Linked DNA regions of Lytechinus pictus. The protein of the gene in region 2 purifies or fractionates together with the protein of the main gene of each other region. This does not show direct contact. Links are inferred from orthologs where the notes say so. Each region holds a gene or a part of one and is shown on either strand. Other genes may lie near its edges. The genes, in order: squalene monooxygenase-like, E3 ubiquitin-protein ligase MARCHF6-like and perilipin-2-like.

What was found.
Region 1: the proteins of E3 ubiquitin-protein ligase MARCHF6-like (region 2) and squalene monooxygenase-like purify together in Homo sapiens (affinity purification with western blotting; 4 studies listed by BioGRID and IntAct, with this or other methods). This does not show direct contact. The link is inferred for Lytechinus pictus from reciprocal best matches to the Homo sapiens genes MARCHF6 and SQLE.
Region 3: the proteins of E3 ubiquitin-protein ligase MARCHF6-like (region 2) and perilipin-2-like purify together in Homo sapiens (affinity purification with western blotting; 3 studies listed by BioGRID). This does not show direct contact. The link is inferred for Lytechinus pictus from reciprocal best matches to the Homo sapiens genes MARCHF6 and PLIN2.

Annotation. Positions count from the first base shown.
Region 1 is NC_087261.1:1,973,711-1,984,982, forward strand, and holds the start of squalene monooxygenase-like, read left to right. Parts: upstream 1-6,384; 5' UTR 6,385-6,718; intron 6,719-8,616; 5' UTR 8,617-8,624; coding exon 8,625-8,735; intron 8,736-9,133; coding exon 9,134-9,359; intron 9,360-11,272. Other genes in the region: ornithine decarboxylase-like, read left to right, coding at 656-743, 2,127-2,325. UniProt on the Homo sapiens protein: Catalyzes the stereospecific oxidation of squalene to (S)-2,3-epoxysqualene, and is considered to be a rate-limiting enzyme in steroid biosynthesis.
Region 2 is NC_087246.1:38,702,689-38,714,187, forward strand, and holds the start of E3 ubiquitin-protein ligase MARCHF6-like, read right to left. Parts: upstream 4,793-11,499; 5' UTR 4,698-4,792; intron 4,000-4,697; 5' UTR 3,951-3,999; coding exon 3,926-3,950; intron 3,416-3,925; coding exon 3,272-3,415; intron 2,941-3,271; coding exon 2,868-2,940; intron 582-2,867; coding exon 314-581; intron 105-313; coding exon 1-104. UniProt on the Homo sapiens protein: Endoplasmic reticulum membrane-associated E3 ubiquitin ligase that plays a critical role in mitigating endoplasmic reticulum stress, the regulation of cholesterol and lipid homeostasis, and ferroptosis.
Region 3 is NC_087249.1:2,797,238-2,807,794, forward strand, and holds the start of perilipin-2-like, read right to left. Parts: upstream 4,145-10,557; 5' UTR 3,632-4,144; intron 1,469-3,631; 5' UTR 1,446-1,468; coding exon 1,202-1,445; intron 615-1,201; coding exon 532-614; intron 1-531. UniProt on the Homo sapiens protein: Structural component of lipid droplets, which is required for the formation and maintenance of lipid storage droplets.

The DNA.
Region 1 (11,272 bases), on a different chromosome or scaffold from region 2:
TGCTTGTGTGCAACATATATTGTGACCAAATGATCATAAATGATTGCACAAGCCATTGTGAAAGCCCCTTTAGGTAGAATTACAAAAAAAACTGTCATGTGGGAGGCCAAAACTGAGTTCCCAATCATTTTTGTCCCTTGACCATTGTGCTAACTGTTACATATGGAGATGATGATCAAGATTTGCAAGGTTCAATTACACTTTAATACAATTCTATTCCAGCATTTGGCTAAAGTTATTTATACTGTGTTACAGTGACTGATAAAAACATCTCAACTTGCTGTTTTGCATTTCATATTTCAGTTGTTCATTAATTAAGTCATGCCAAACTTCCTAAACTGCCTTTATGACCCCACCCTCCCTAGTCTGCATGCACAGACCCTGATTGAAACTTAAGATCAACAAGTGTGTCTTCAAACAAGACTAGCACACAATATAAAACTAGCACACATAAAAAAACAAAAAACATCAAATTTTTTCCCCAAAACCTTGTACAAAAACGATCAAATTACCATCTAATTGTGATTTCTTGCATGGTCAGCCCCCCTACTTTCAAAACTGTTCCGCCGCCCCTGAATTATAAGATAAAATCCTAATGAAACATCTTTTGGTCCGGTATAGTTCATATTTATTATCCACCTGTTCTTTCTTACAGATATGGGAGCCTACACTATGTGTGCCAGCTCTGAATTCAACGGCTTCAAACGACCCATCTTATATTCCATCATATCCAAGGAATATATGTAAGTAATGCGTAACCCATTAATGTAAAAACTTTGTAATGAATTACACCCTGTTGGATGTATGTTTCATGTTGTTCATTAATGTGGAGCGTTGTGGCCCAGTGGATTAGTCTCCGGACTTTGAAACAGAGGGTCTTGGGTTCAAATCCCAGCCATGGCGTAGTTTCCTTCAGCAAGAAATTTATCCACATTGTGCTGCACTCAACCCAGGTGAGGTGAATGGGTACCTGGCAGGAATTTATTCCTTGAAATGCCACAGCGCTGTAAAAGGCTGCGGGGCTTAAGCCAGGGTAATAATATCCAAGTCCTTTGGAAGGGTATAGAGACGTTATTTATGTGTTATGCGCTATACAAGAACTGACTTTTATTATTATTTCATGTGTGCCAGCAATGCAAGATTCCTCCATCACAAAATCATGTTATGGTATCGCACACTTACGAGACTAGGGTCAATCTCTCTTGCGTAGGTCATTCACAATGAATTGAGATGATTTGGAAGATACTAAGGAAATTCACCAGAAACCAAGAGTAAAATATATATGGTCTCACAAATATAGCAATTTTGTTTTTGATGCAGATTATTTGAAAACGATATCTAAGCAGTTTCAATTCCGTATTATCTTTCTGTGCCAGCTTTTTACTCTTGAGTTTCAAAGTCTCTCGTTATGTTTTGGTAAATCCCCCAAAATGTATAGCTGGCACTATTTAACTTGTACTTATATAAATGTTTACATCCTTCATATGTTAGGGTGTAGATGATTTGAAATTTGGCATGATTTTTTATTAAATTTCATTTTGATAGAGATCCTGACCAAAATAAAAATGAGATATCAGTCCTTCACGTATATAATTTTGTGGAGCTCAATAAATCACTCTCATTTTTTTGAGGAGCTCAATTGAGCTCCTCAGAATCTCTCTCCTTGAGGAGCTCAAATCAATTTGATGTATGCTAAATTGTAGATTTTTATTAAAATTTCAAATGCAATAGCTGTGTTGCTATTAATTAATCTGTGGTGAAACTAGGCCTGGGTCATTACGTTTACAAAATATCGCGCTCCTGCTTTCAAAAAATTACAAAAAATTGCTAAAATTTCACATTTTACATCTTTAAATCCATGAAATGGTCATCTGTTTTCCATGATTCCTTGAAATTATTTTGATTTAGTCAAAAACTATCAGGAAAATGAAGAATATTCAGCTCTTTCTTGACTCTGATTGATGATGTTACAAATGGTAAATATTGTAGTCCCACATGTAGACTTCCATGGTGTTGCAACTTTAACTGAAAACGATCTTTGATCGTTTGATCATTATTGATCGTTTTACACTTGGTCAACACCATGAAAATTTTTTAATGAATTTATGTTTCTCCCATATCCCCAGGTCCATCGTAGAGCGCATCACTGACCAGCCTAAGCCACGTAACAGCTGCAAGGCTTCCTTCACCCAGCTAGCTACATCACCACCAAGAGGCTTCTTTGATGAGAACAGCTGTTTGGTTGATCTCCCAGACCCACCCTACGATGACATCTACGGTTTGGTGGATGGGGGCGCCTGCAGAGAGATCGCTGCAGAGATTTGACAGTTTCTCAACAACAAAAACATATCCAGATACCCAAGATCCTAAGTCTCACTCTGATATTCTTGATCGGTAGCAGTTGGTTTCCTTAACAAAAGAATGTCATTATATTATTCTGTAATGTCATGCTTTATACTTTCACGTTTTCCTGTGATATATATCCATGGTAGTTTAAGTTGTGATTAGCTCCTTTAAGAATGCTTGATTGATGTGCGTTATTTATCCCTCCATATCAAGTTCCTTTGTCTTTTATTAGGCTATATGATCTTAAAGAGAGTAATTGCCAAGATGTGTTACTTGCTTCATTACATGTAACACATGTTGAAAGCCACTTTCTTTCTGAACACAGAGTAACTTAGCAGTTCTTTCCTTTATAATTATATGTATGTATATACTAACTGGAACTATATTTGTTGTGGTGTACTGTGGAAAAATAAGAAGCAGCTTACCTTAAAATAAATTTGTTGTGTCTTGGTTATATTACATCAGTAGGACTGGTATTTAAATTTATTTATATTTTGATTTTCGTTTTTGTGGATTTTTGATAAATGGAAAATATATATCATATACAATGGATGCTATTAACATTGAAGTGCCAGAAAAAGAAATTGCCTCCTATTCGTGTTTATCTTTTTGATTCACTGGAAATTTTCAAATGCCAAAATAAAGGCAAGGCACATTTTTTCATGTATGAAAAACTCAAACGAAACAGAATTTCAGGTCTTATATTTGACAATCTGCAAATTAACATTAATTGCTGATTGTGAGTCATTGTGATGGAGGATTCTTTGAAGTTTTCTATTAAAAATAGCAAAACATATTTGATATGAGCATTTATATTATATGATTTTTAAGTCTCAAAAGGCCAATTTCAGGTTATTGATGTATTTTGGTATTGTGGATATACAACATTTAAAATTCAAGAGAAAAATTATGTGTCTGATGTTTCCACCAAGGAGTAAGAATTGATGATTTCATTTACAGTCCTACCTGTAATGATTTTACTAGTAAGAGATATTTGCTTAAGTTTTCATCTATGCTGCTATATTTCATGCTAAGATTCTTCATTGGTGTACAAAATTAAGCAATTATTAATCATATGAATTCTAAATTAACAGAATTATTGGCATTAAAATTGATGTGTTTGATATCTAATGTATGCTGTTCTTTTATTTAGGGCATGTTGTATAATTTTCTTTCTAAAAGTAATGTAGTATTAATTAAGTGAGATCAGTATTATTCATTGAGTACACTGTCCTGTTCTAAATATAAAATGGTGAGAACTGGAAGCATGCATTACTAGACAAGTTTTATGAATGAAAGGTAATATTTGATTTGTCAACTATATATTATTGTTATCAATGTATTTGTGAGAACATGATCTTAAAAGTTAAATGCTATTATCCTAACCTTTCTCTAGGTTATTTTGGTATGTTTGTTCTTTGTAAGAAAAAGAAAAGTAGTAATGAAAGTAGAGCATAAATTGTTAGTACAGCCCATTTCTTCTCATATTGTTGAAGCATTTAGGAACAATTCAATATGAATCAAAGTTTAATTCTATCTACTGGAAAGCCTTTCAAACTTGACATATCTTGGCTCCATATATTTCATTTATTTGCAACATGGTTATACTCACGTATTGCATGATTGGTACATATAGTGGTTAAATATATATACCCTTGTATTACAGGAATGTTTAATTTTGTGGCTATCTGCTCTATGATAATTTTAAACTAACAAACTTGTTTTCATTTAACAATTTTTGGTTTACAGTTTACTCCATTGTAGTAGGAATAAATGATTGGCTTATCACGAATGAGATTATTTCTCTGTGTTTGTGTGTGTGTGTGTAATATCAGTCAGTGAGAACTAAAGTGTGAGGAAAATTAAATCATGGCTCCACCAGTAGGGAGGCTGTCAAGACTGGACTAAGTCCTGCGTCACATGGCTATGACACAACAATTGCTCCGGGCTTTATTTTGTCTAAGATGTAGGGGCAGGGTTAGGGTTGCAATAGGGTTTTATGTTAGGTTTAGGGTGGGTATAGTGTTGAATCCAGATTGGTGTTTCGTAAAGCTGTCCGTAAGTTAAGAGCGACTTTACAAATGACTGGTGATCCTATCTTAGGAGCTAAATCCACACCAATGAGATTTTGGTGTGCGTGCATATTTCACATCAAGAAAAGATCAAGTCATTCCCAAAGTCACTTCATTACTTTACAAACAGCTCAATGAAACACATCCCAATCCCAACAGGAAATTAGTCATTGGATTAGTGTGTGGAATTTATAGCAGACCAATTGTCGCTGGGGCAAATGTCACGTTAGTGACGTAACACACATGGCTTCTGGGTATTCAGGCCGCCCTTTACTCCCATCATTGTACAAACATGGTACGATAAAGCCTGGCAACATGCCTTTGTACACCCAGAGATACATTGAGATCATTGCATTGATGATCATTGTGTATGATCAATGGTAGTAATCGGCGCCACGGTCAAATACTGATCTTTATGTTACCATGCCGAGTGTTAGAAAAGAGATGGAGACATCAAAGTGAAGATGAGAAAGAGAGGAGAAAAGGAAAGTGATAGAGAAACGGGACATTTTATACATGTAATCAAGATGTTGAAAATTCATTTAATGAGAGCAAAATTTTGTGAAGGCGAAGGGTGTAAGTTTTGAGTGAAATTGATTTTAGAGATATATATAAGGGAATAGAGGGGATCAAAGGACAGTAAGAGCATTAATTTTTAAAAAAACTTTTCATTCTCTTCCTCTGCCTTCTTCACCCCAATCTGCCTATGCACTCCAGGGGCCTGTAACACAAAACTTAGCAATGATCTTAGAACATTTTTCTACAATTGATTCCATTGACTATAATGTACAATCAATCGTGAAAATCAAGCGTTCGATCAATCGCTAACCTTTGTGTTACGGGACCCTGGACTGATGATTCTGTTCATGCTCCTATACCCGATTGAAGAGGTACTCCAGGCCGAAGATAATTGTATATGAATTAATAGAGTGAAATTCACCGAACAAAAACACTGAAAACTCTATTTCTTCAAAAGCAAATATTTTTAAAGAAAGTTATTGAATTTTGAAGTTCAGCATTATTGCGTCATATATGCTCACTGTCATGAATATGCAACATGTGGGCTGGTGAGGTCATGTTTCTACTTCCATATTTTAATACATGAAATCATAATTATTTTATATTTTCATACATGATTATATGATATGTCTATGTGACAAAATAAGTTGCCACTGTCAACATCTTACACATTGAATAAGTTGTCAGTTCACTTTTTGTATTTCTTCAAACATGCTCGCTATAAAGTGTAATTAGATGTAATTAAAACATAAATATGGGGGCGAGGACATCCATCAGCTTGCTCATTGCACATTCATGAAGATGTGCATATACTGTCTAAGCAAAATAATAATAATATAATGCCAAACTTTAAAATGCCATAACTTTGTTCCTTAATTATCCAAATGAAATTTTGTTATTTTTTTTTTTTTTTTTGGGGGGGGGAGGGGGCGGGTCGATCTCATTTATTGATTTCAGTCAGCCTGGAGTACCAGTGCATAGCGACCCCTATGCATGCATGAGTAGCACGCTTATTTGGCATTTATTTCTGAACAGAATTCAAGGAGGAAGCCCGCGCTCGGAGGAAGAAGAGGGGGGGGGGGGGGCAGCTATATGCGTGCAACTCTATTCATCACTCCTTCAATTAGTTTGACGCCACTTTTTGGTGATCATCTCCGGCCCCGGCTGTCCCATGCCCCTCTGTATTAATTTAACGTGGCTCGTACCCGCGGGCCCATCCTCCCTCCTAAAGTACGTGACTCATATTTTCTCAATTGTATACATATAATAGCTATTCTAATAATAATATCTATAATAGCTCTTCTTTATCCTTTTTCATTTGCTTCACCCTTCCACTATTTTCTCCTCTATTTAGCCTGCCTATAACTAAAACAATTGGGGCGTGGTCGCCACGTGCATGCCCCCCCCCCCGGCCCCCCATTTGTACCGCCCCTATGGCTATATATGTGCCTATTTATGGATAGATGAGAGCCTGTCCAAGGCCCGGGTCCAAGGAAGTCAAAGCAATGAACAATCAACATGGCAAAAACGAAATTACTATTTGATTTATCACTAAAGTTCGGTTGATGAATTTTCTAAATAGTCTGAGAATTTCAATCGTAGCTAGATTTTCAGTTGCATAATCCTTGCTCACGCGATTTTCCCTGCGATGTTGTCGATGTCAAAGGTCACGTTATCTCATCAGCTCAGCTGTATTGCACAAAGAACGGCAGCTAGTGGAGTAGCAGCCGATAATTAGCATTTTGCCGATGAAGTTTGCACCTATAATCACTCGGATATAGGTAATCATTTGATTTTATATATTCTCATTGATCTTAGGTTTAATAGTCAATTACAGAACGAAATTTTAATTGATATCTGTGCACTATCCTTCGGTTTGCCGCTGCCGGGATGCGGGGATCGGGAAAGTTCTCCGCTGATTACAAGTCCGGTTCCGCTGGACAAGACGCAGGGCGGAGCTGCGCTACGCGACAGCGTTAACGTGTAAAGACCTGTGGCTGTGTATCAATGACAATGTTGACCTGGGGTGGTATTCTGAAAATGGTCTTAAATTTTCTTGTAACTTTTCTTGTAAGTCAGGAAGATACACGTGGCTGATCTCACAGTCATATTTTCTTTGAAAAGATTCATCATCTCGATTACCAATTTTTAATTGCTGAAAAGTTTACCAATGCGTCTCTGCCTCTGGGCCTGGGGACTGTCATGTCTCATGACTGTAAATGTCTTCGGAATGTCTCCTGCAGTAAAACACGATGTTCTTGCGGGATGCAGCAAGAAATTATTATTTTTGATCGAGAAATATCGCAAGCAACATTAAGTTACAATAGCCACCTACCTCTTGTAAATTTTCTTGTATTTTTGCAAAGAAGTTAACAGAACGCAAAGATAAGAGAATTTTCAGAATACCTTTTATCTCGATATGTTATCTTGCGCACATACATGTATGTAGGCCTAGATATTTTAGGCGCCGTTTTTAACTTACGCATCATTATAGCTCTGACATCATACGCGCTCAGTGAAAGTTACAAGAAAAGATACAAGAATTTTCAGAATACGGATTTTATTCTTCAAACTTACAAGAATATTTCTCTTAAGAGACAATTTTCAGAATACGGCCCCTGTCTTTATCAGAAAAATCAGGCAAATTGTTGTTCAAAGTGAGTTGTCGTTGGGTATTCTCTCAGTGACTGAGAGAATACGGTAATGTCTGTCACAACAATTTCAATTTTAAGTTAACTAACTTAGAATTATGCATTTTGGGCCTTTTGTTTTGCACTTTCATTTTTTGGGGACAATTGGATTTGTTCCAAGGCGAAGATAGATGGGAAAGGAGGAACTTGATAGAAAGGGGAGTTTGTCCTCTGCAGTATCATCACTCTAGAATTTACAACTTGTGAACTGGGCAGTGAAGGAGGACATTTTCAAGTGACCGTCTGTTAGATCACTATCTAGAACCTTTACTTAGAACCCTTGATTCTGTTATCGTAGTCGAGTGGTTTAAGTCATCAGATCAAAGCTCTCTGTGTATGCCATGCTGCTCTTAATGGCACAGGTCACAGGTTCGAATCCAACTTTTGATTGCCAATAGTAATATATTTTTAGAATTATAAATTGATGGCAATTTTAAAGGTCTGAAAATATGCATTATCGCACTAAACAATTCATATTCATGCATGATTGATGACGGATCAGATTTTCAACTTTAGAGGTGAAAAGCAAAGTCTATACTTTTCTGTTATATAAGATTCCTTTTTTTATTCATTTAAAAAAATTCATCTTCTGAGGACAATATGGATGAAAGATGATCACCAATGGCTCTGTAGTTTTCCGAATCAAAATGTGAAGTCAGTTTGTTTGAGGTGTGGATGATTTAGAGAAAAAATAGAATTGAATTGAATGGTTTATTTATTTCAAATGTTCACTGAAAATAAGCAGCCAAAGGCTGAATTACATTCAGTTTACAAATATACAGACATATAAAAAATATACAACTTGAAATAAACAAGGCAAATATCAAAATGAAATTGAGTACAAAGACATGCCAATCCTCACACTTGCTCTTGCTCATCCCATAATTCTCATTGTCACATTTCTAACATTTGAACACCTCCATCCCACAAACAGTTATCTGATTTTTGTATTTTGTCTAATTTGTCTCTTTTCTTACTGTTTTTTCCAGGTGTTGCAATGATTGAAATTCTAGTAAGTCTCATCCCAGAAGGGCTGGGGTATCCCCTGGCTGTGTCTGCTATACTTGGCTTGTTGCTTTACATTCTACTGGGCAAGCCATCGTCTATGGTGAGTACAAACTATTTTGACCTGGTATTCAGGAAAGTTTTACATACTGCTACTTCTTAAATATCTTCATCATGTTATCAAGTGAAACAAAATTAAGTAATGGGTAGAAATAAAAGTGTAGAGCTGCAGGTTTTATTTTGTTAGAATTTGCAATTAGTCCCAACCTTGTTTTAAAGATTATAAACTCCCTGTTTCTGTATGGCAAATTTTGCATTAAAAGTTAATTATAAATCTTTCATAATCAAAACTTAGCTGAAGTCTAACAGTGTTTCTAACTGATGCTTGATAATACCAAAGTAATCCCTTTCTCAGTTTAAGAGAACTCTATAAAGACGCACCTTTTTAATTCCTGATATTTGTTATTATTATTAAAGTGATTTGATGTTCAAACATTACAGAAGAAGCAGAAGAAATCGACCAATCATATGACAGCACCATCATCACATGACACTGATGTTCTTATTATTGGCTCTGGGATCCTAGGGTCAGCCATGGCTACTGTGCTGGCCAGAGATGGCCGTAAGGTGACCGTTATAGAACGAGACATGAAGGAGCCGGACAGGATAGTTGGAGAGTTGCTTCAACCTGGTGGCTACAGAGCTTTAACTGATCTAGGATTAAAAGGTATGGTTTAATCTGTTCTCTGTGACCATCTATCTCCAACTTTAAACAAGGAAAGGGAGAATTTACAAATTAAGTTCATGCCAACTGGTGTGTTGGCTCAGTTAGTAGAGCGTCCATCTCTCAACCGGGAGGTCAGGAGTCCCAGCCCCGGCCTTAGATCAAAAGACATTAAAAGATGATGCGAGTTACTGCTACCCTGTTTGGTATTCAACAATTCAGGAATAGAGCTACATCGATCTGGGGCTGCACAGTGGCTGCCAGGCCCACGATCAATTGGACAAAAATAATTTTCGGAGTATTTTTATTTCAAATTTCATTTCAAACAATAAAACAATGGATTTTCATTTTCAATACTACGATTTGAACCTGCAACATTGTCGCTGCATCAGAATGACAAGTTGCTTATTGAAAGGGTTCTCATTACTTTATATTCTTACTAATTCATTTTATTTCAGAATTTAATACCTCTCAGTTGCGAATATTTACGCTTTCTGTCATGAGGTTTAGCCTTGACTGAATAAACCCAATTATTATATTATTCTCAAAGACTTTGTTATCAGTAGGCTACCAAAGAAACAATTACTGGCAGCAGGACATACTCCCTTATATATTTTTAAAGCATATTTTCGATGTGTATTTCTTCAGTAATTTATGAAAGGTTGAATACTGTTCAATTGATGTTCAAAGTCCAGCTACTTGATAGTAATCTGAAAGCAAAGGACACAGACCTTTAAAGTGCCACTTAGAAAGATAGTATGAGTTGAATCCCAGGTTTGGTGGTGTATCACACACGTTACTATGCCTTTGATTATTGGATTATATCAATCAAGCCCTCCACTTTATTTCTTGTAATCTTGGTATTGTGAATTGACAGTATGAAATCAAAGTTACATAAGACATCAACAAGGGAACAACTAGAAAGGAAATAATAATAATAATAAATAATAATAGCTTGATTTATAAAGCGCTTTTTGCCTGAGGATACAAAGCGCTGCTATTATTAACCCAGCTTTAGCTCGAGCTACCATCACCGGCACTCAGTGCATTCAAGGAATTAATCCTGCCGGGTACCCATTCACCTCACCTGGGTCGAGTGCAGCACATTGTGGATAAATATATTGCGGAAGGAAAACACGCCATGGCTAGGATTCGAACCCACGACCCTCTGAAAGGCGAGAGTCAGAACCACTAGACCACAGCGCGCCCACATGAATGTAGAGAGAAGTGCAGGGTGAAACAATATTTCTTTTTTTAATGTATGAAGTGAAATGGTAATATTTTTGATAATTTCAAAGCCACATCCAATCATAAAATAGATTCATAAACTTTCTAATCAATGATGCCTTTGTACATGATGAAATATCCTAAAAATATTCTATAGCATGACAGCAAGAAGGCTTTATTGTTTGGGCAGGGTAAATAACAATGTGATATCAATGTTCTTGTCAGCTTATCTATTTTAAATATTTAGAATATTGTTTACTCAAGCACTTGTTCATAATGGATAAGATACATGTAGTTCATACATGTGGCCAAAAATCGTATGACAATTGTTTGTGCTAATGAGACTAAAATGTCACTTATTTTTTTCATTCCATATTAACCTACATCACTCCATCTTTCCTTTCACTTCATAGTTTGTAAAAGTCTATTAAACCATTTGTTTGTTTCCATCAGAAACATAATCAAACGTGTGCTATAGAATTAACACACCACACTACAGCTGTCTTTGAAATCAGACAAAAAAATGCTTTTCACTAATAATCCCCAGATCATGTTGACATGCATGCTAAGTAATAATTACTTTCAATTTCACTGATGACCTTTCCTATACAAATATAAAAATCATTTGTCTGGATGCATGTTTCTGCAAAAGCCTGGGTGTAAGCCTTTCACTAAGAGAAATCCTTCAA
Region 2 (11,499 bases):
TGTTCTCCTTCATTGGGTCTTTGTCCAGCCTCTGCTCCTCGTACATTCTGTCTTGCTTGGTGGTTTGCTGCTCCTTCTTGTCTCTGCCTCACACCACCATTATTCTAAGAGTGGCAAAATATATCAGGGTGGTGTCAAAACATGTGAGATATCCGAATAAAATAGAGAAGCTGTAATGTTTCAGGAAGAAACTCCCCTTATCAGCAACTACCTCAATTCTAATATGAAAATACAGTCTAACCTTTCCCTTCACTTCATTCTCATCAGAAATATAAGATGCTAAAATCAATGGATCAAAAGAAGGATCCCTCACCTGTTGATTCTGTGCAGCTTGACCAGGGTTATTTGCAAACCCTCTCAGTGCCCTCTCTAGCACTCCTTCAGCCACAGCTCCTTGTCCAGCTCCAACCCCTCCTCCTCCTCCTCCTGCTGCTGCTGCATGTTCTCCTCCAGGATCCTCCAGCCATTCCGGCCCTCCTCCATGGGCCACCTGCTCTCTTAGTAGTACCAAACTGATCAGGGCACATAGTGTACAACCAACCACAAAGCAACCTTGCAGGATGTCTGTAGCCATCTTCTCCCTGCAGAAACAATGCAAGAATAGGTCAATTCTAAAACACGATTTGACTTTCTAAAGACGCCTTCTTTGTTCACAAAATCATGTTATTACTAACATGAATCATATACAGCATGGATTTCATTATCCCAATCAAAATTTGATGGGGGCTTAGGGGCGATTTGGCCCCAGAAATGCTCAAATAGTCATGGGGCCCCGTTTCATAAAGGACTTGCAACTGTTGTAATTTTGCCATAATGGCAACTACCATGGTAACGGGTCAGCAGCCAATCAGAATCAAGGTTTCCATGGTAGTTGCCATAATGGCAAAATTGCAAGAGTTGCCACTTAGTACTTTATGAAACGGGCCCCAGGAACATAAAAAATCCCCATTCACTGCTTACCCAATCTGGGGGGTGCTTCACAAAGATTTAAGTATGACTTAGAGTCGCACTTAAATACCGAGTTGCGTAAAGTATGAAAGGCTTGACCGCATTGGTCAGATCGTGTCATGAGGATGCGCACTAATGCGTATCTATCAATAAGATCACGCGTTGCATATCATGTACGCGTCGGCATTTAAGTGCGACTTAAGTCATACTTAAATCTTTGTGGAACACCCCCCAGGTGGATGTTTCATAAAGCTGTTCGTAAGTTAAGAGCGACTGTAAGAACGACCGGTGATCCTTTCTTATGAGCTACTAATCACCAATGAACAATTGATGGTGAATATTATTTACCACAAGAAAGGACCACCAGTCGTTCTTAAAGTCACTCTTAACATACAAACAGCTTTATGAAACGGCCCCCAGGTGTGTGTATAATCAGCGATATAATCAATTTACACGCCCTGTGTTATGTGGGCAAACCTCGGGGCGTCTTTGAGCGTGTGCAAGGAATTACGTAATTGGGTTCGCTGGTATCCAAAACTCCTTGTGTTTATGTATTACAACCCCATTTATATACAATTTCTCAAAAAATAGGGCTTTGGCACAGCAGAAATTTGGCAAGCATCTCTGTACATATCAAATGGATATGCACAACAAACCACATGAATATTCATTTGGGAGTACAGATATGTTGAGATCCTGGAAATCGTATGGAGGTAGTTTTTTGGAGAAAACAAATGAAAACTACTTTGATTATTGGATATGATTTTTTTCAGAACAAATTGATATTATGATTCAATCAAGGCCCCGAAAATTTGAGAGAATTGTTCACAAACGGCAAATATATAAGCAGATGAATTGTCCATGAAATAGATATTCAAGATGTTTTGGGTATTATCCCGAGTTAATTACACCGCTCCTCTGGGCCTGCAATGTTGCAGATTTAGCCATGAGATTGTGAAAGGTAGCCCCCGAAAATAAAATACTAGTTTTTTGCCTTATCCTTATATAGCCAGGGGCAGGAGGGGGGGGGGCTTATATAGCCCCTTCAACATTTTTCATAATAAATCTAATATATAGAATATTTCAATTTGAAGTTTGGACAATAACGAAGGTATTTATTGAACCATAATACGTATCAAAATAACAATTAATACACATGATCAAAGAGGAATCAAACCTGGTTTAAAACTACAAGTATAATACAAAAGGAAAAAGTGAGTGACATCAGTTCCCCCTTTGCATACTGACCAGGATGTACACAATGATTTTGAAATCAAGCAAATTTTTAAAATATCATAACTTTCTTATTTCATATCGAAGTTTGATGAACTTGTCAGTGTTATGCTTGTTTGATTTTCCTTTATTTATTCAAATAAGATTGTTAGGGTGGACTTTTTCTTTAAGTAATAACTGTGGGATTCTTGAAAATTCACATTGGTAACCAATTTTTGGGGCCATGTTTATTCAAATTGACAATCAGCTTTATAACATCAAATAAATGATACAAAGGTTTAAGTTTGTGATGATAGTGGTGACCCAGGCAAATCTGCAATGTAATGAGAATGTCTCCTGATATTTTTTGCATCACTGTAAATAACCTTGAGTGCACTATTCACATATGGATTATGTTACATGCAATACAAACGCAAGGCTTCTATGGAATCTTCCTGGTCGAATACAACAGGCCTTTACATTCTTACACAAAAAATCTTAATGTAATTTACTTCTATCAGAGGGAACTATGGGTCAGCCGTAGATAAGATATATGTCATGTTTGTACTATTCATATTGTTGTTTTTATGCTGAGAAAAATAAACTGAATTGAACTGATTTTCTTGTAATGACTTTGATATGTAACTTGATAGCACATAATGTTAGCAGCAAGAGGTACTCATTGATGCACTGGATTGAATACTTACAAAGAGAAGATATCAAATGGCAAGGACAACACGGGAGCGAGGGATGTATTGAAGAGGCAGCCATATATACGACCTAAAGGCAAATGAAAGAAAGGCTGATAAAGGTAGATAAGACTTATACAAGTAGGGAAATGGTATGCTAATAGGTAATCTGAAGCTAGAAATATAAATCATCGCTGAATAATGGGATACTCACATGTCTATTGAGAAATAACTGAATAATGAATACCAGTATACAGATGAATGAATAAAAAATGAATAATCATTATAATTGCACATTATAAAAATAAAATCTTGTCTACATAATTAAATATTCAGATAATTAAAAACATCAAATTACATACAATGATTTAACAGATTTTATTGAAACTTTGCTTAATATTAAGGAAGATAACTTGACATACTTGCTGTAACAGGAACAATGCCAAGCCAAGCAAAGATGACCATGGTATAGTGGATCCAACAGAGTACAGCTGTACCAAAGTTCCTTACAAGACCCCATACAATGTCACGGAGGGGCAAGCGAGGGGGCATGTCAGGAGAGTATACTTCAAAGAAAAACAAGACATATATATGAATTTTTAAATTTTAATCAAGTCACATCAGTTAAAATGCACCAAATCCAGAAGGCACAATACAAAATTTGGAAAAAAATAGTTTAACAGATTTTCATATAATAACATAATAATTGTGGAGATATAATATATCATTAGCTTGCTTATTGCACATATTCATGATAACATGCAGATAATGGTTTCACCAAAACATTTAAAAAAAATTACTTTATTAAGTTCAAGAATTTCTAAAAGTTATATCTTGATGAAAATTTCAGTGCTTGCTCTTTAAATTTTAAGTTAAATCAATTAACTAAAACTCTCATTTTCAGCCTGAAATACTCCAAAATTTAAGACCAGAGTTAATATTCTGGCTCTGTATCACATTTTCATATATGAGTGTACCTTAACATTTACATACTTTGATAATTGAAATTATCTTTCATTATTTATTAAATAAACAATAAGTTCAAACTAAAACAATAACACTGTACATGGACTTACTTGGGGCAAAAGTGAACTTGTGCATGCATAGCTCACAATATTCCTTCTTGCTGTGTTTTAGCCATTGCACCAGACTAAATGGGGGAAAATAAGAATATTTGAGAAAGGGAGGAGAAAAGATACAGTAAAAAGAGAATGGGAATCACAGAAAGGATAGAGAGGAGAAGGGGAGGGAGGGAGTCACACAAATTTATTTATTGACCGAAGGAGTAGGTAATCGATCTATCAAACATTATTCTGATAGTGGTAATTATTTCTACTATTACTAGCTTTTAGTTATTTTCAGAATACTTCCATCTGTCATTGGTATTCTATTTTATCTTCAATCAAATAATGGGAAATTCATTAAATATCAAAAGCAGAACATTCAGAAATTGCAAAGATTTAATATACTATGCAGTTAAGTAAGTTAACTAACCTGAGCTTGACAAAAAATCTACAAAAAATACAATACACTGTACAGCAATAAATTAGCTTGGATCTGCAGTAGCCCAGGGCTCTGGAATCAATGTAGGATATCAATGCATAGATATATATCGTGTATATCAATGCATAGATATTGGATTTAAATATATCTTTGCATTCCCTATCTGATTGTTTCTATTATATTTTTTCTTAATTCAAACTCATCTTAATAAAACAGATCTATGTATATACAAGACTTTTATAACATATACCAATTTCCATTTATTCAAAAGACAATCATTGAAAATAATAGAGGACGGTCATGAACCTCATCAAAAACTCATGCCTATATTGATGTAATACCTACCAATCTTGATGAATGTAGCGAATACTACCAGTGCAAATACATGGATGAAATAGAGGTCGCTCATGGCCACCTTCTGACCTGCATACTCTACATACATCTGAAAAGAAAATAAGTTCATATTTTCATAAAATGGTCTTGACTCCTGTATGAGATTCATCTGATTGTGGCTTTCAGATTTCTTCACAACTGAGAAAATTATCTCACAACGCAGTCCGAAGAAGCAACCAGTTGGAAGCATAAAGCCCTCTATGGCACAAATTTTTTTCTTGATTGTGAAAAAAATTATAATGTTAAAAATGTACCAAAATGTAACTTTGCAACTTAAGTGAAATCAATCATGATCAGTGTTTTTGCTGCATAGAAATAACAATAATGATAAAACAGGTTGGAATTATGTTAATTGTTCATTCACCAATCATGTGAAAGCACCAGTAATCAACATTCACATATCGCTTTTTGCCATTTGATTGTTCGCCAGGGTAAGTACAATTGAATGATTAAAACAATCAAGATTCCTGCGATTGAATTTAATCAATATGGAATACCCCCAACATGGCCAAAGTTTGACCCTAAGTGACCTTTGAGCTTGGTCATGTGACCTGAAACTCAGGCAGGATCTTCAGGGATATACCATTACCCAAGTTTCATGCACTAGCTCCATATACTTTCTAAGTTATGACAACATTTCAAAACCTTAACCTTGGTTAAGATTTCAATATTGATTCCCCTAACATGGTCTAAGTTCATTGACCCTAAATGATCTTTGGTCATGTGACCTGAAACTCAGGAAGGATGTTCAGTAATACATGATTACCCTTATGTCCAAGTTTCATGAACTACATGTAGATCCATATACTTTCTAAGTTATGATGACATTTCAAACCCTAAAAGGACTGGGGGGCCATGATGCCCCCCCCCTCAACGCTTCGCACGATATTTCTGAAATGAAAAAAGATAACGCCGCAAAATTTTATGACTTTTTTTTTTTGAAGTCTCGCACAACTTTTGAGACCAAATTCGCGACATACGGGTATAGCATCTCGACGCCACGCGACTTTTTACGTGACAATGTCATGCCGAAAATGGCTAATTTTTATACTTTGTGTACAAAGTCTATACGGGAGATGAAATTCATAAAAGGTGATTATTTTTCATTCTAATTGGTCTGCTTAAATATTTAGGGTTTAATTTAGTTGTTAAATGGTCTGTAATAATTTCCATTGAAAAAAAACAATGAAAAGCAAAAGATGAAAAAACAAAGAAATACATAAGGAAAAAATTCACTTTTGAAATTTTTCTTCGTGGAAACCTTTAAATTTGATTAAAAGATGAGTCTGAAAAAAAAAAAAAAATTTGAAATGAAATTGAGTGTTAACTATGCAAATGTTTTTCACAAATAAATTTGCAAATTTCATTTATAACAAATTATAAAAAATAATCGTTTTCAGAATTTTTTTTTGTACTGGCTTGTAGTTTATGTGGAAAAGAATGTGCGAGCCAAATTTTGGCGCGATCGCGCGAACAGCGGCCGAGATCAGAAGGGGAGGGGGCCATTATGGCCCCCCCCCAGTCCTCAAAACATCTCATATACATTGTAGCCCTGTCAATTTCGGGTTAAGATTTCAATGTTGACGCCGCCGCCGTCGGAAAAGCGGTGCGTATAGTCTCGCTCTGCTAAGCAGGTGAGACAAAAGCGGTTTAATCTGGTCAACTGCTAAAAAAAAAAATTAATAATCAGTTCCGTTTTGGTCCTGAAAGGTTGACGCGTAGTGATTTCACAACACTAAAATATACAGTCTCATTTTCGTGTTGGAAATGTGCTTGAAGTCACTTAGCGTCAATCTTTCAGGACTAAGAATGGACTGATAATTTATCTTTTTAAAATAATCAATTGACCAGATTAAACCACTTTTAAGAACATATGGACTTCGAAAACATTTCATATTCATTGAATTATTAATTTTACCAGTATAATAGCAGTTGACTGGAGGTTGTTCCTCTCGTGTTTCAACATTCCCAATCAGTACTCTTCCCGATCAAGGTGGCTGCGTTTGCTATGACATTGTGATGTATCATAATCATATCTATGTGAAATTTTGATTCAATCCTCATTATCCCATTTTCAATATTTTTTTTCTTTGGCAATTCTATTCAATTTGAAAATAAAATAAGAAAGGACTTCTAGTTTTGATTAAAAAAAAAAAAAAAAAAAGGAAATCAAACAACAATTTTCATAACCATTATATGCCAGACCGTCGTTATGAAAAATGTTCTGTTGGCTCAGGATTGGCGGTCATTTAAAAAATAATTTTGTAATTTATTTAGTCATACTTTGCTAGACCCCAAAGCTTGGACAAAAAGTGCCGAACCACGCCGAACCGAACCCGAACATGCCGCCTAACTTGCAGCACTACTATAGTTTCCAAGTATAGCGCCTATTCACATGCACCTCAAAACAATGACTGATGCCTTTTCTCCATAGACCCTGTAGTTAAGCATCAGTCGAAGTTCAACCATTACGAGCCCAATGGCTGTCATCGGTGTATTGACTGAAAGGATACCATGGAGCCAGACGAAGTCTCAGCAGAGCATAACCCTGACATAAATAGACCTAATCGGTCTATGCAGATGTACCTCAGGTGATGGTTCATGTAGGCTCCACTACACTTCAATACCGCTACACTATGCTACACCTACCCGAACCATCAGGGCACATCCAACACCGGTGAAATATGCGGCGAGTCATGTGCTGACTAGATGGGGAAGCTATTGATAAATCTGACTTTAGTCAGAACAGTGATTTTGAGCCCAAAACAGACACTAAAGTTTATATTTCTGTCTGTAGTCTAGGTCTACGAGAAGCTTAACAACTTCAGCCGGCCCGGTCCGGGTAATAGCAAGGGGAAGATACTGTTGGTTGATACGTGCAAATTATTAAGGGTACGGGTCATGGCGGCCCCGAAGAATTTAGGGTTCAAAGGGTTAAGACTACATTCAGAAGAATCCATAAGTATGAATATGCAAATAGCGAAATGATCCCAATCTATAGGAACACAATATTCATATATGTCTTGAGCCACGATCTCCACGCATGCGCAATTTGCGTTTGCGATGTTTTGGAATCGGCAGTGTCTAATGGTGAGGAAGTAGCAACTGGCTTTTAAATCACAGATTTTGAGACTGTAGGGACAGTGATTTTCCGCGATCGCGGAAAGCGGACGGAATTCACGGAAATGGCCTTTTGAAACGGAAAGTGACATTTCAAACGGAAAATCACGGAAAACATATTTTTCCTCAGAATACACAGAACAGCAACATATATTACTCCAAAATCTCAACAAAATACGAATATTAAATGGCCACAAAACCTCACAAAACACGATCTCACTTCACTACGATCATGACAATCCACACATCGTGACTGCTCTTCACTCCATCACACTCAATCGTACCCCTCGCCCCGGTCCTTCCCGGCCGCGCCGGCAGGGTACGGTCGATCGGCCGTATCGAAAACATTCACATGCAGGTCGTGTGTTGCTGCCCATGTTTGAAGATGTAACAGCACGATCTTGAAATCCAAAATGGCGGATAGAACGAAATTGTTGACTGCTCAAAACGATGTCCAAAAAACCCCAAAATTATCGAAAAAATTTCATTCAACCGTAAAATAATGCTAAAAATGTGAAAGGTGAGGATGTATTAATGTTAAATGTGTTTGTCAAAATATTTTGTGTACCCGCATAGATCCGATTAGAGCAGATTCTACTGCGTTGTTGGTTCAGTGGCAGATACAAATTTTGACCAGCGCGAGTGTTGTGTTATTGCTACTGAATGGGTAAACCGAATCGTTAATTTTTTATGTACACAAAATCTATGGGGAAACAGAATTTCCGTTTTCTGACATGCTGAAACAGAATTTAAGATTTTCTGAAACGGAAAAGGCAATTTTTTTAAACGGAAAATCACTGTCCCTAAGACTGATACTATAGAAACAAGTGAAACAGGTTGAAAATGTATTAAGATGAGTTGTAGTCGATCACATGTAAGGTCATGTTTTTGCATGACTTGGTTTTGTTCAGCAACATAAAGTGACACACCTTGTCACTGACTGGGAGTGTCAATCTGTTGAATGTGCCCTGGTGGTTCGGGTAGGTGTAGCATAGTGTAGCGGTAGTGACCAAACAGGACTGAGCCTGAGGTAATGCAGGGGCCTGTTGCATGAAAGGGTGTTTGGTATAACCGCTCTACGTAAGAACGTGATATCGCTCAACTGTTTCACGAAGCCAATTTGGTCCTTGGAAAGACATTTCCAGACATGTCCTATGTAGGCATGATCTTCTTTGCACACCGCCCGCCACCGTCGGCATATAGAGAAAATGTAAAGTAAGATACAGCAAGCCACCCTAACATATCCCCTTTTAAATTTTTTTTTCCATTCAATTGCACGCTGATGCAGTTTATCTGGGATGGTGCCAAGTTATTTTTTGTTTGGGGGTTGGCATCACTTTTCAGGTCATCTAATTGCCTGGCAAGACGACCCAAAACTGATGTCGATTTAACTTCTCCGGGGTAATCTAGGTCCAAACAATTTTTTTTGGTATGTTTCCCATTATTTCTCTCTCATTTTTCTTCCACCCCTTTTCCAATTTTTTAACCAAACTTGAAATATTGAAATGGACCGGCATGCTTTATCATTAGATAAAGGTTATCAAAATGCATTTAAAAATTAAAGAAAACATGGGTTTAGAAGTTCTGCATTGGTTTTGTTCACTCTAGATCTAGATCTATTCAAACCCTATTGTTACCTCAACAAAATAACATTTAGACGAGATCTAGATCTAAAGCATAATTTGCAAAATTATCATTGGAAATAAGCATTCAATAAAATTCAGAATATTGAAATAACTTGAAATTGCTTAATTTATTCTTTTCATATTCTGACAAGGGTCTCTTTCGTTGAAATATCAATGAAAGTGTCCTTAACTTAAGAGGGCATGTGTTTTAATATCATAAGGAAAATAATGAACATTTCCATTTTATCCAGTTGTTATGTGATGAAATGACCTATCTCACATATTTAATAATATATCAATGCATAATCAATACTTCTACAGGAAGTATAACAGGAAACCATATGTTTACCAATTCTAACTTTCATAAGAATGTATTACTCATTCTTCTTCCAGCTAAACTTCTGACGCACACACATTTTATGCGTTTCTTATTCACTACATTTCATGTTCTCCTTAAAAGGTCAACTCCCCCAATTCAGAGTAAAGTTATGACGTACAGATTGTTTTGGTCAAGCGTCCAAGGTTGACCAACACCTGTTTGTGTTAAATTTGTGTTAAATATTGTAAAGATTCATAACCAAAAATGAAATATCACAAAACTCACTAATACGAAAATCCCGCCGTGTTTTCCGAACACCTCTTGATTTCCCTGCCCGATATAGAAGGGGTCCTAAAGCTACGTACTCAATTTATCATGCAAAGAAAAAGTATTTCCTGTGCCTAAACTTCTAAATAATGTTCATAATCTTATAGGAAAATATGAAATCAAAGTGAATATAACTCCAAAATTCCAAACAGTTGCTGGTTTTCTCTGTATTTAGTGATTTATTGCAGCCTCTGTAGAAAAAACTGAATAGGAATGGTTCGTCACACTGCAGTCACGAGCTCCACACACAGAGTGCGCATTTTGCAATTGAAATTGCATGCGCATTGGAGTGGTGCGTAGCTTTAGGACCCCCTACCATACTAGTATTAAGTTCGGATAAAACAGGGATGTGAAGTTGCGCGACAGCCAAAGAAAGTCACTGTTTTCCCCCCTTTTAAGTTTATTTTCCCCCGTTTTGGTGCGTTTCAGGCCAAAACGAAATAATAATCTTTATTTTGCCTTGGTCCAGTTCTTTTTATATATTTTTATGAAATAAAGATAGGGTGTCTGAAGCCACACTGAAAAGTGTCAGCATAAAACAGGCTGATTTAGGGGAAAATATGGCACATTTTTTCGGGAAGTTCAGGCTGCTAGAAAAATGTGATCTGAATTGATTATTAACTTGTGTTTGGCATGTATGGAAAGAGAAAATTCAGGGGCTTCTTTTGACAGTCTGGACAAGTTTATATGATCATTTTAAATAAGGATTTAGAGATAAATTGCAAACCCTTATTTGTGTGTGTGTTGAGATTTTCCCATGCGTTTTCTATGGGAAAATGAAATGTCTGTTTTGCACAATTTTTTCACTTTGTCGCAATTTTTCATTGTGATCTGGTTTCCAAATCTTTATAAAATCATACCATCAGAAAGAGCATAAAAAATCCTATTGGACTCTTATTCTTAATGGACAAGTTTTTGGCATTAATGATAAATTTATAACAGCTCTCAGCTCTCGGAAGCTAAAAATTTGGAATTGTGTGTGTCCATTTCTTAACTAGGTATACCCAGTTGTTGTGTGTCCGGACGATCAATTTTAGAAAGTCATTTGGAAAAATTTACAAGGGAAGTTTTATCAATTTTTAGTACAAAATGTCAGGAAATATTATAGAGAACAAAATAGAAGATGATTACAACTATTGAATTCGTATTTTTAGTGTAATCCAAAGACAAAAAAGTAGGCTTCAAAAATATAAAGTGTCCGGACACCCGACCCCCCATCCTACTGGTACACAGTCTATGGCAGAGAAATGCTGAAAATTGACCTACTTTCATTCTTCTTTTTTGCAGCCAATAATTGGATTTTTGGCATAATCGTGATATAGTCCCCAAATCCAAAAGTGGGGGCTATTAGAATCACACCTAC
Region 3 (10,557 bases), on a different chromosome or scaffold from region 2:
ATTAAAAATCTGGGCAAAAAGTTTCTATTTTCTTCCTCACTCTCTATGTGCCTTGAGCAGTCTGGTCTGCTGGGAGGATTTTGGCACTCTGAAGTTGCATTATTACTATTTAGATGTTGAATGTATGAAAAATTGAGTTTCCAAATGTAAAAGATTATTTCCTTTGACCAGATTCAAGACTGACCTTGTATCATTTCGATAAATCTATTAGGTGACTTGAGTAGCATGACAGGGCTATAGGCCTATACTTTCAATATAGCAATAAAAACATTTAAAAATCTTGCTTGATTAAGATATTTCTTCAAATCCAGAAAAGATACAAGTAAAAATGAATTGTATGGCAAGAAAAGGAGAAGCGCTTCTCAAACTCACAACGGATACCTATCAAGTTTGATATGCCAGGGCCAAAACTCTCTTCATATCTGAAAAAAGGTTCAACAGTCAAGACACGAACTCTGCAAACCACAAGACAGTATTAAGTAACATGTTAACATTGGAAACAAAACAATGTCTTTCAGTATTGATACATACCTTCTCTGGTGATTCAGTGATGACTGGGACCTTCTCTTCAAGTTTATCCATCTGCTGGTTAGCATATTCATTAACAGCAGAAACTGAAGAAAAAATAAATATATTGAGGGGCATATTAAGTATTGACCTCTGGAATTGACCTATGCCATACTAATCCTACTCAGCAATACAATCAATTGAAGTGAATTATATATCATGTAAAACATAAGTACTAATTCATTGAGGGGGGTAAAGGTGATTACCACAAGAGGAGGAACCCATTCAACAGGGACAAAAAAAAAACGAATTCAAACCGTACTATCAGAGTTGTTGCCTGTAGGCATGTGAAACCCAATGACTCACTTTGATTAGTTCAAAACCACAACAAATTATTTGATTTCCTGTGAATGCCTACACAAGTTGAAGATCACCTAATACGCTGTAAATAACAATTTTTTTCAAGTAGGAGAAAATCAGTTTTATGGGATTAGATATTTTGATTGGGATAAAAAAATTATTAATTTAACTTTTAAGTATCATCTGCAGATAACCAGTAATGCAAAACCACTTCCCCTCGAATGTGCACATGTACATTATATATATGCAAGCATGAAGCTCCTAAGTCCTAACAAAAGGAAAAAATGAAAGATTGAATTATGATTGCAAAATGAGAAAGCAAGCATTATCTTACTTGGTCCTTCAAGTCTATTGACCACTGGCTGGGCAGTGCTAGCAGCCATGGCTACAGTACTTTCAGCCATCTCCAGAGTATACTTGACCAGACTATTCTTGTCCTTACTCCAGTTGTAAGCATTGGTCACTTGGGACAAGGTTGAACTGACCACAGGAAGTGCAGCCATACGATTGATGACATTAACCTGAGTGCCACAGTCTTCACCCTCTCCTGTAGTTTGGTTCTCAAGTTCTGGCTGCATGCTTGCTGGTTGCTGCTGAGCTTCTATATGTAAAGAACAAAATACAGGAAATCTTAACAAATAAATATGAAAGAAAATTTTAGAGAGTGGGATTCAGGGGAGGTGTGTCATTGACTTGAAAGAATGGACAATTGTTTTTCTCTTCACTTCACTGTCAGACATGCAGGTACACCCTAGAGTAGCAAATTTAAATTGCAAGAAATGACGTGGAAATTGTAATAAATTGCTAATTTGCAAAGTCTTTCAAAGTGATAATTGCCTTTTAACCTGTTGGCCAGGATCAGTTATTAGACCTACAGAGCCCAATATGGGTTATCTCTGGCATCAGGCTTCATGGATTAACTTTTTAAAATGCTACAAGTCATCCATTATTTGCAGAAGTTAAGAATTTCTTTGACTTGCAATGACAAGATTATAAGATCATGCAGTGCGTTGGCTAAGTTGGTAGAGCATCCGTCTCACAATCGGGGTTCAAACCCGGCCGGCCGCGTCAGAACAAAAGACGGTAAAAGATGGGAGTTGCTGCAACCCTGTTTGGCGTTCAACAATTCAAGGGATAGAGCTACATGTACATTGATCTAGCGCTGCACAGTGGCTGCTGGGCCCACAATCAATTGGGCAAAAATTATTTTCATTCAGAGTTTTTCTATTTTCAGATTTCGAACAATAAATTATGGATTTTCTTTTTATTTCAGTATCTCCTTAAATGAGGCATCTCCAAAATCTCTACATTATTATTCTCTTTAAATACAAGCTTTGACAAAATTGTTTCATTAATTTTAGCAATAAAAAGTACAAAGATTCAAGAAAACAAAGCTTTGACCTTAAAAGTGAAACTAGTCAGTACAGTTCATGTGGTCTGCTAACTCTGCTTCAACAAAGGTCACATATATGAACAGGGAATATCCTACAGGTACCTCAACTTTTACAATGTCTTTCTTTGTATTTATTTGGGAGTGAAAGCACTACAAATTGCTCAGATCTAATGCAAAGTGCCAGTTTCAATTCAATCCTAACATTCAAGTTGAAAAGTATAAAGTAAAACACATGATACATTGTAGAGCTAGGCTATACTATATAAATTTTGCACTAAAAAAAAAAAGAATACTTTCCTGGTCCTGGAATTATTTCACACAAACATTTAATAGTAGGATGGGGGATCGGGTGTCCGGACACTTTATATTTTTGAAGCCTTCTTTTTTGTCTTTGGATTACACTAAAAATATGAATTCAATACTTGTAATCATCTTCTATTTTGTTCTTAATAATATTTCCTAACATTTTGTACGGTAAAATTTATGAAACTTCGCTTTCAAATTTTTCCAAATGACTTTCTAAAATTGATCGCCCGGACACACAACCTGTCCGGACACACAACAACTGGGTATAGATTCAGGCTTAATCACACATATATCTCTGATCTAATAATAAATCAACTGTAATTGTAAGTCTAATCTATACACTGAGGCTCATGAGAAATGAGACATTAATACAAATCTCCAGCAAACATTTTGTAATCAAAGTATTTTACTATCTGCAAGGTGCCCCAAGCGCAGCGGAGTGATCCTTGCCTGTGCATACGCAAAACCTACCTGCAACGATCACAAACTTTACACCTGCAATACTAAGGCAGATATTCATTAAAACATCTGACTCAAAATGGTGGAAAAATATTGAATTTCAGGCATTTCATGTAACAACTTCAAAATGCTGCATTTCATATCAAAATCCGAAATTGTGGGCAGGTAGATATGGGGGCACCATGTTTTGTTCAGTCTGGAAATGCTGGCTGATGTTTTTTTCCCCCAGAAAATAATCATGTCCCTTCAAATTTTTTTGAGATTTTCAGCACACTTACCATACTTAGCTAGTCATAAGATTGGGCATTATCAAATGAATTGTTTTGCAGAATAAAAAGAAATTAATGCTTAATCTCAAATTAAATTAATAGGTGGGAAGACATGGGACCCGTTTCACAGGCCTACTCTGTAGCCCTAGTCTAGATTGCAAAAAAAAATAATAACTAAACATGCTAAAGAACACAAGAACATACAGTGCTGTTAGTACAGTAACATCTGAACATGTATGTACATGTAGATCGTAGTAACTGTAAAGAAAGCAAAATGCAGCATTAAACTTGAACTTAGTCTACAAAGACAACTGGTTGAGAAAAAAAGACAACTCACACAAGATTGAAATAGAATTGAAGATGGATCCAAAATGAATTGAGAGCTGACGATATCTTGCACAGTACTACTCAGTAGCAGTCAACTCAGTCAGCTATAGCTGTTCAAGCTTGATGTAACAAGGTTGGAATCGTTCTGATGCAACTTCACAAGAAATGGAACCTTAAATACCCTCAGTTAAATTCTATGTCTGGTAAATGTAATCAATAATGAACAAAGATGTTTTTCTAATCCAAACTAGCCACAAGGATGTATGGTAGATATGAAGAGAATTCAGGAAGCAGACAAAATAATCAATGCAATGCCCATCCACAATACACTTTTGTCTCATGTGGTATACGCACAGTGATACGTGCCTGACTGCATGCTGTCCGCATTCACAGAAACTCTGTTGCAATACTTTTGTCCTTGTGGTGACTTTCAGCTTTGGGTCTGAGTCAGAAAACAGCTGATTGATAGCTCACAGAGAGCTATGACCTACTTAGTATAGTGTTTGTAGAAGAAGAACACCTCAATGACACTGTCAAGTGATTCAACAATATGCCCATAACCTGGCCTTGCAGTAGCCCACTGACTGATTACTGCTAAAAAAAAGTTATAATAGTGTGGTTGGAAAAAGAACAAAATCTACTGGTACCCTCTTATCAGAATATTAACTAAATCATCTTCAGAAGAAAACTGACTGTAATCATTTTTTATTTCACTGTGAAATTTTTTCAATTTAAAATTACGGTAAATCCTCATGAATGAATTACAGATTATTTTTCTTAAACAGCCTTCATGACATGTATAAGTTACAACTTTAATATAGCGCCAGATTTTATCATTAGTCCCCAGTTTTCTGCTTTGTAAAATTCAAATTCTACGTTCTTTTTAAGATCAACTTCTCTTCACTACCATGGCACATGTTCAAAACACAGTAAATAATGATATTTTAATTAGAAAAACAAATTATGTATGCACAGAGGTTGATGAATAAATACTTAAAGGTCAAGTTCACCACAATTAATCGTTGTTTCACTTGGCAATGAGGAGAAAAATAGAATATTTCATATAATAAAATGCGAAAGAAATAGTGAGTGGATGACGTCATCAGTCTCCTCATTTGCATACCCACCAGGATGTGCATATAACTGTTTTGTGAAATTAAGCAAAATTTCAAAATGTCATCACTTTTTTATTTTACATCCGATTTTGATGAAATTTTCAATGTTATGCTTGTTGGATTTTTCTCTTTTTCTTCAAATCAACTTTTTTGAGGGGTGGACTTGTCCTTTAACAATGCATAACCATTTGATTGACAGATTTTCCATTGATGAACAGTTATCTTTATTTTGAAATTGCTTTAATATTCATGATTTTCACTGCATTTTTATATCATTTTCAGGAGCTGAAACTTTCTGAAAGTTGAAACATTGTTTGCCGAGAAATTCTGTTTTCTTCCTAATCCCGTCAAATTTTTCTGCTTTCCATACAAAAACAAGTGGAACGCCTCTGGCAGTCTCGCCTGCGTTACGCGATTTGATATACCTGCAGTGCTGACTTTGAAAAAGACTATTGAATAATTATTCATAAAAGAAAACACTCATATGATAATAAAATACTATGTCCATTTACCCAACATGACCTTTGACTATGATCATGTGACCTCAGACATGTGCAAAACAACTCCATTACCCTTATGTCTATGTTTCATGAACTACATATGTGTAGATCCATAAACTTTTTGAGTTATGATGCCAATTCAACAAATACCCCGAACACGGCTAAAGCTCATTGACCCTAAATGACCTTTGATTTTGGTCATGTGACCTGAAACAAGCACAAGATATTCAGGGATACATGGTTACTCTTATGTCCCAAGTTTCCATGAACTAGATTTATAAACTTTTAAAGTTATGACAATTCCACAAATACCCCAAACATTATCAAAGTTCGTAATCGTTGACCCTAAATGACCTTTGACCTTGGTCATGTGACCTGAAAATCGCACAGGATGTTCAGGGATTCACAACTGCTCTTATGTATAAGTTTCATCAACTAGATCCATAAAATTTCAAAGTTATGATGACGATTCCACAACTACCCCCAACATGGTCAAAGTTTGTTGACCCTAAGTGACCTTTGACCTTGGTCATGTGACCTGAAACTCAGGCAGGATGTTTAGTAATACTTGATTACCCTTATGTCCAAGTTTCATGAACTAGGTCAATAAACTTTTGAACTTATGACGACATTTCAAAAACTTAACCTTGGTTAAGATTTCGATATTGATTCCCCCAACATGGTCTAAGTTCATTGACCCTAAATGACCTTTGACCTTGGTCATGTGACCTGAAACTCAAACAAGATGTTAAGTAATACTTGATTACTCTTATGTCCAAGTTTCATGAACTAGGTATGATGATATTTCAAAAACTTAACCATGGTTAAGATTTCAATGTTGACGGCGCCGCCGCCGCCGCCGTCGGAAACGCGGCGCCTATAGTCTCGCTCTGCTATGCAGGCGAGACAAAAACTGGGGACTTTAGAATATTCATACTGCAGTCAACATGATTCCTCATACTTCCAGTCAGACCGCAGGTCCCTATGCTAATGAGCAAAAAGGCCAGATTCATCCAAATCATCTCGTGGCTGAAACCTCCTCCTTGCAAAATCTCATGATTCGTGAGATTCTCTTACTCTAAGAATTTACCTGTTTTAACCTCAAGTCAAATGAAATATCAATGCACCATCAGATTCATATTGGTCATTTATTTTGTATACAATATTTTGATAAAAAGGTGAATTTCTGGCCTGAAAATGCGCCTCAAACCTGAATTTTCTTCCTTTGTTTTCTTTTGAAAATTGTGCAAAACTTATTATTTTGAGCCTCAATGATATCTATACAGAGCTGCCAAGTTGTATTTTGCATTTTCAGTATTCTTATCCCCCAAAATCAGTATTTTGACAAAAAAAATCAGTATTTTTACCGTGTGAGATAAATATTTTGTATTTTTCCCCAAAAAAGTGTATTTCATAATAAAATGCTTGGCGCACTCGCCCATCACGGCGCTCAAGCTGCATGCAAGCTAAAATGCGCACTGCTCTTGCAGATGAAAAAAAAAAAACATTGAAACTTGTGTATATCTCACCCTGGTTTTTACAAAATGATTGGAAAAAAAACAAGTTACCTGAAATTACATTGATCTAATAACCATATTTGTGTACGTTTTATGAAATAGAGACATGTAGGCCCGAATTCTCAAAGGGTGGCTAACTTAGCCCGTGCTAACTTAGCCCACTGGGCTAACTATCCCCCGTGGGCTAATTTAGCCCACCGAGCATTTCTCAAAGCGTGGGCTAGTTAGCACCCCCGGCTAACTTAGCCCATCGGGCTAAATATTTAGCACGGGGTGCTAAATATTTAGCACGGGGGGCTAAATCTACCACGATCGATGACTGAAGTTAGCGCTCTATTTAGCACTGTACTGAGCATGCTCAGTGTAATAAAGCAGTACTGAGCATGCTCAGCGCCGTATTGAGAGTTTAGTCTGCTAGGGACATGAAAACGTCGCCATCGCAGGGGTTATGAAGCAGGACTCAACCAAAAAAAAATAATGTATCAGCAACATGCACTTGAATTTCTTTGCGAGATGGTATTGACAGCGAACATTGTCATTAATTTGTTAATTAACTTGGGCCAACGTAGGTATATATTTACCGCCGACGGCACGCCGCCTGCGAGCGCTGCCCCTGCCTGCACCGTTCCGGGCAACGTATCGCGTAACCCATGGAGCTCCCTGGGCTACGCATCGTGAGGACCAAGACTGCACTGTTCTACACAGTGGTACCTTAAATGCGAAAAAAGCTATAGGGGCCTACTCTAATTTTAACCTTTTGTTAGGTATGTATAGACTATAGGTTAGATCTAACCTTAGTCCAAATCGAGCACATATCGTAGTACTGAGTACGGAAAATGCAACTAAAAAACTTGCCATTTATAGTGCACATTGTGTGAAATACATCATCGATCTGATTCTGTTTACGAAGCCTACCTACCTTGTCAAAGTGGGTGGATCGAGTTTTGATTGAAAATGAAATGCCATGCTGCTATGGCTATCCTAAAAATTGAATCTTGAAAAAAATTGGGGTCTTGTATGTTACGTTTAGATGCATGTGAAAGATTTATGAGTTAGGGGCTGGGGCCGGCCGGCGCAAGCAACATGATCTCGACCCCACTATCGAGTGCCATTTATTTCTTTCTCTTAAAGTTGAATTAAGAAGGGGGTGAGTTTCCATAAGTATAGGTTCTACATACAATATATAGTATATATAAGTTGTTCAAACACATAGCATGTCACAATAATCATCTGCCTTCTCGATATTTTGCTTTGAAAGTCTATGAAATTAGCCACCTGTCAGAGCCCGAGAGACGAGTGTACAGAAAAGTCACTCGGAGTGTGACGTCACCGGGGGGAATTTAGTATAAGAGGTGCCTGAATGTCATACAGAAATGCTATGCAGAGAGAGAAAGATATTTTACAATTTTTTTTCAAAGCAACTCAAATCAAACAAATAGGACTGATATGTACAAATCTTTACTTTCCCTGTATAAAAAACAGTATGAATAACCACCATGAACTCTTCAATCATGATGTAAGATAGCAAACAGTGAGTTATTGAATGATATTTTCACTATTTCTCATTTATTTTATCACGATGTTCAATCAAGTGAGTAGCTGGAAAGTAATTCCGGCGGCTAGCTCAGCGCGCGCTGAACGCATAATACTAATACACACAACACCCAGGCATTGAGTGTACTGTTATGGTCTGGTATGTCGACTTAGTTCATGGCCGTGCAGCGATCCCCTGGCGTTTTTTCTTCTTTTCTTTTGTCTTTGACTCCACTTTTATATCCTCTGGATCATTTCCACCCATAGCTCATTCCACAGAACAATCTTGAACCAAACGTATAGTATTCTTTCTCGGCCTTCTGAGTTGTTTTCTATATTTAATTACGCTAGGGGTCACCGTCACACATACAAACGCAATTCGGAAGTGAGTTGAAGACAGAAAGATATATAGTAATTAGTATACATCTCTATGGTTGAAGACAACAAGAACGGTACGGTAGCTCGACAGCTAGCTGCGCCGGAGCGGGCGGCCGGTCGGCACAAAGCAATTCCGCAACCAACTGTGTTTTTTTGCAAGAGCCGCGTCACACGCGGATAAATATGTCATAATAACACGTCTGCTACGTTATCGACTGGTGAGAAGATCTCGATCAAATTTCATATTATTCACCTTGAAATTATTCCTTTAGGGTCTATGGTATCATTCTGAGGGAATTCACATATTTGGAATAATAGTACGGCCACAAATATTTTAATCATTTCCTCTTTGCAAGTTCTATGGCTCGCAGATACAACTTCAACTGCAGTTATTCCATAGTAGTACACAAAACGGCACTGCCTTGTTTACTAAACCGGGACCGAATACCCCCCGGTGACGTCACACTCAAAGAACACCCGTCTCGGTAGGCATTGCAGGAGCGAACTCAGGGGGAAATGGGTAGGGATAAATCGTTCAAATTCACTATTTTGAAAAAAGAAAATGGGGGGTCGAATCACCTATTAGTGTTTGGGGGGTTGTAAGGTTGCTATTAATGTAAATATCTCAATATTTGGAATCGTCTTCTTAATTCAACTTTAAACTTTCCTATTTGAAGTAATATTTTTAAAATTTTATGTTCTATTAATTGTATTTTTTCCAATAAGTTATATCTTTATCAATGGGGAAGTTGCAGCAGTATTTGTATGAAATTCCATTTTCTATTATTTTTTTTAATTTAATTATCTTTCACCTTCAAAAACAGAATTCTTTTAAATTTGTTTATTTCGTTATTTTTATTCCTTTATTTATAGTCTACCTCTTATAATTTTTTTTTTTTTTCTTTATCATTTTTATTTTCGATTGATTTTATCTATTTTTTTGGGGGGGGGGAGGAACATTTAATTTCTGCACCCCATGATCGATGAAGTCCTGGATGAACCAAAAATTTAAAGGGGGCTTGATATGGCGTATCTGGTAAAATTAATTTTTAAAAAGTTGTGCGCGAGCAAAAACTTCCAACATTTGTGCCAGAGCTAACAATTTTGGAAGGAGCCAAGATATTAATTGGTAAGCTCCTCCAAGAGCACTCACTGGTCACCGTAATTGCATTATCCCTAACTTATTTCTGTTATTGCTACTCCAGTTGGCGGGGGGGGGGGGGGGGGTAACCAAGTTAGACACCATGCTTGCACATTCGTAAGAGCATGTATTCATTTTTTCAAAGGCAATACAGTATTTTAGCCAGAAAAATGTTGACTTATGAACCCTGGATGAGTAAAAACGGTATTCCACCGATCATAAAAATATATTTGAAATTGGGGGAAATTATGACAAAATGTCCAAGGTACTCCTAGATTGAAAGATAATTGCTAATTATGGTCAATTTTGAAATTATCAGCCTGGTGTCCAGCTGCGGAACCGGGGGGGGGGGGGCCTTGACCGATTGTGATTAACTGTTCCGCAGCCCCTGCCTTGTAATAACTTTGCCCCCCTCCATCCCCTCCCGAAGACCAATTGCTTAATACAGGATATTTGGTCAAAATGCCCCTGCTTTTAAAGAAAAAAAATAAAATCATTTCTGAGGGGATTACAATTCCTACAATAAAAATTAACATTTAAACAAAGTCTTATGATATGCTAACCCCACATGTCATTCTCTCGGTGATATAGCTACCTTCCCTCCTTTCACTTCTCATTTGCTTTCATCACATGCACATTTATCATGTATCTTTACATACCAAAAAACTTTTCTCCCAATTAAAAGTTTATAATAAATAACATTGTAGTACCCACTACAGCAATTTTCTCTAATTGTATCCTCTTGCACAAGC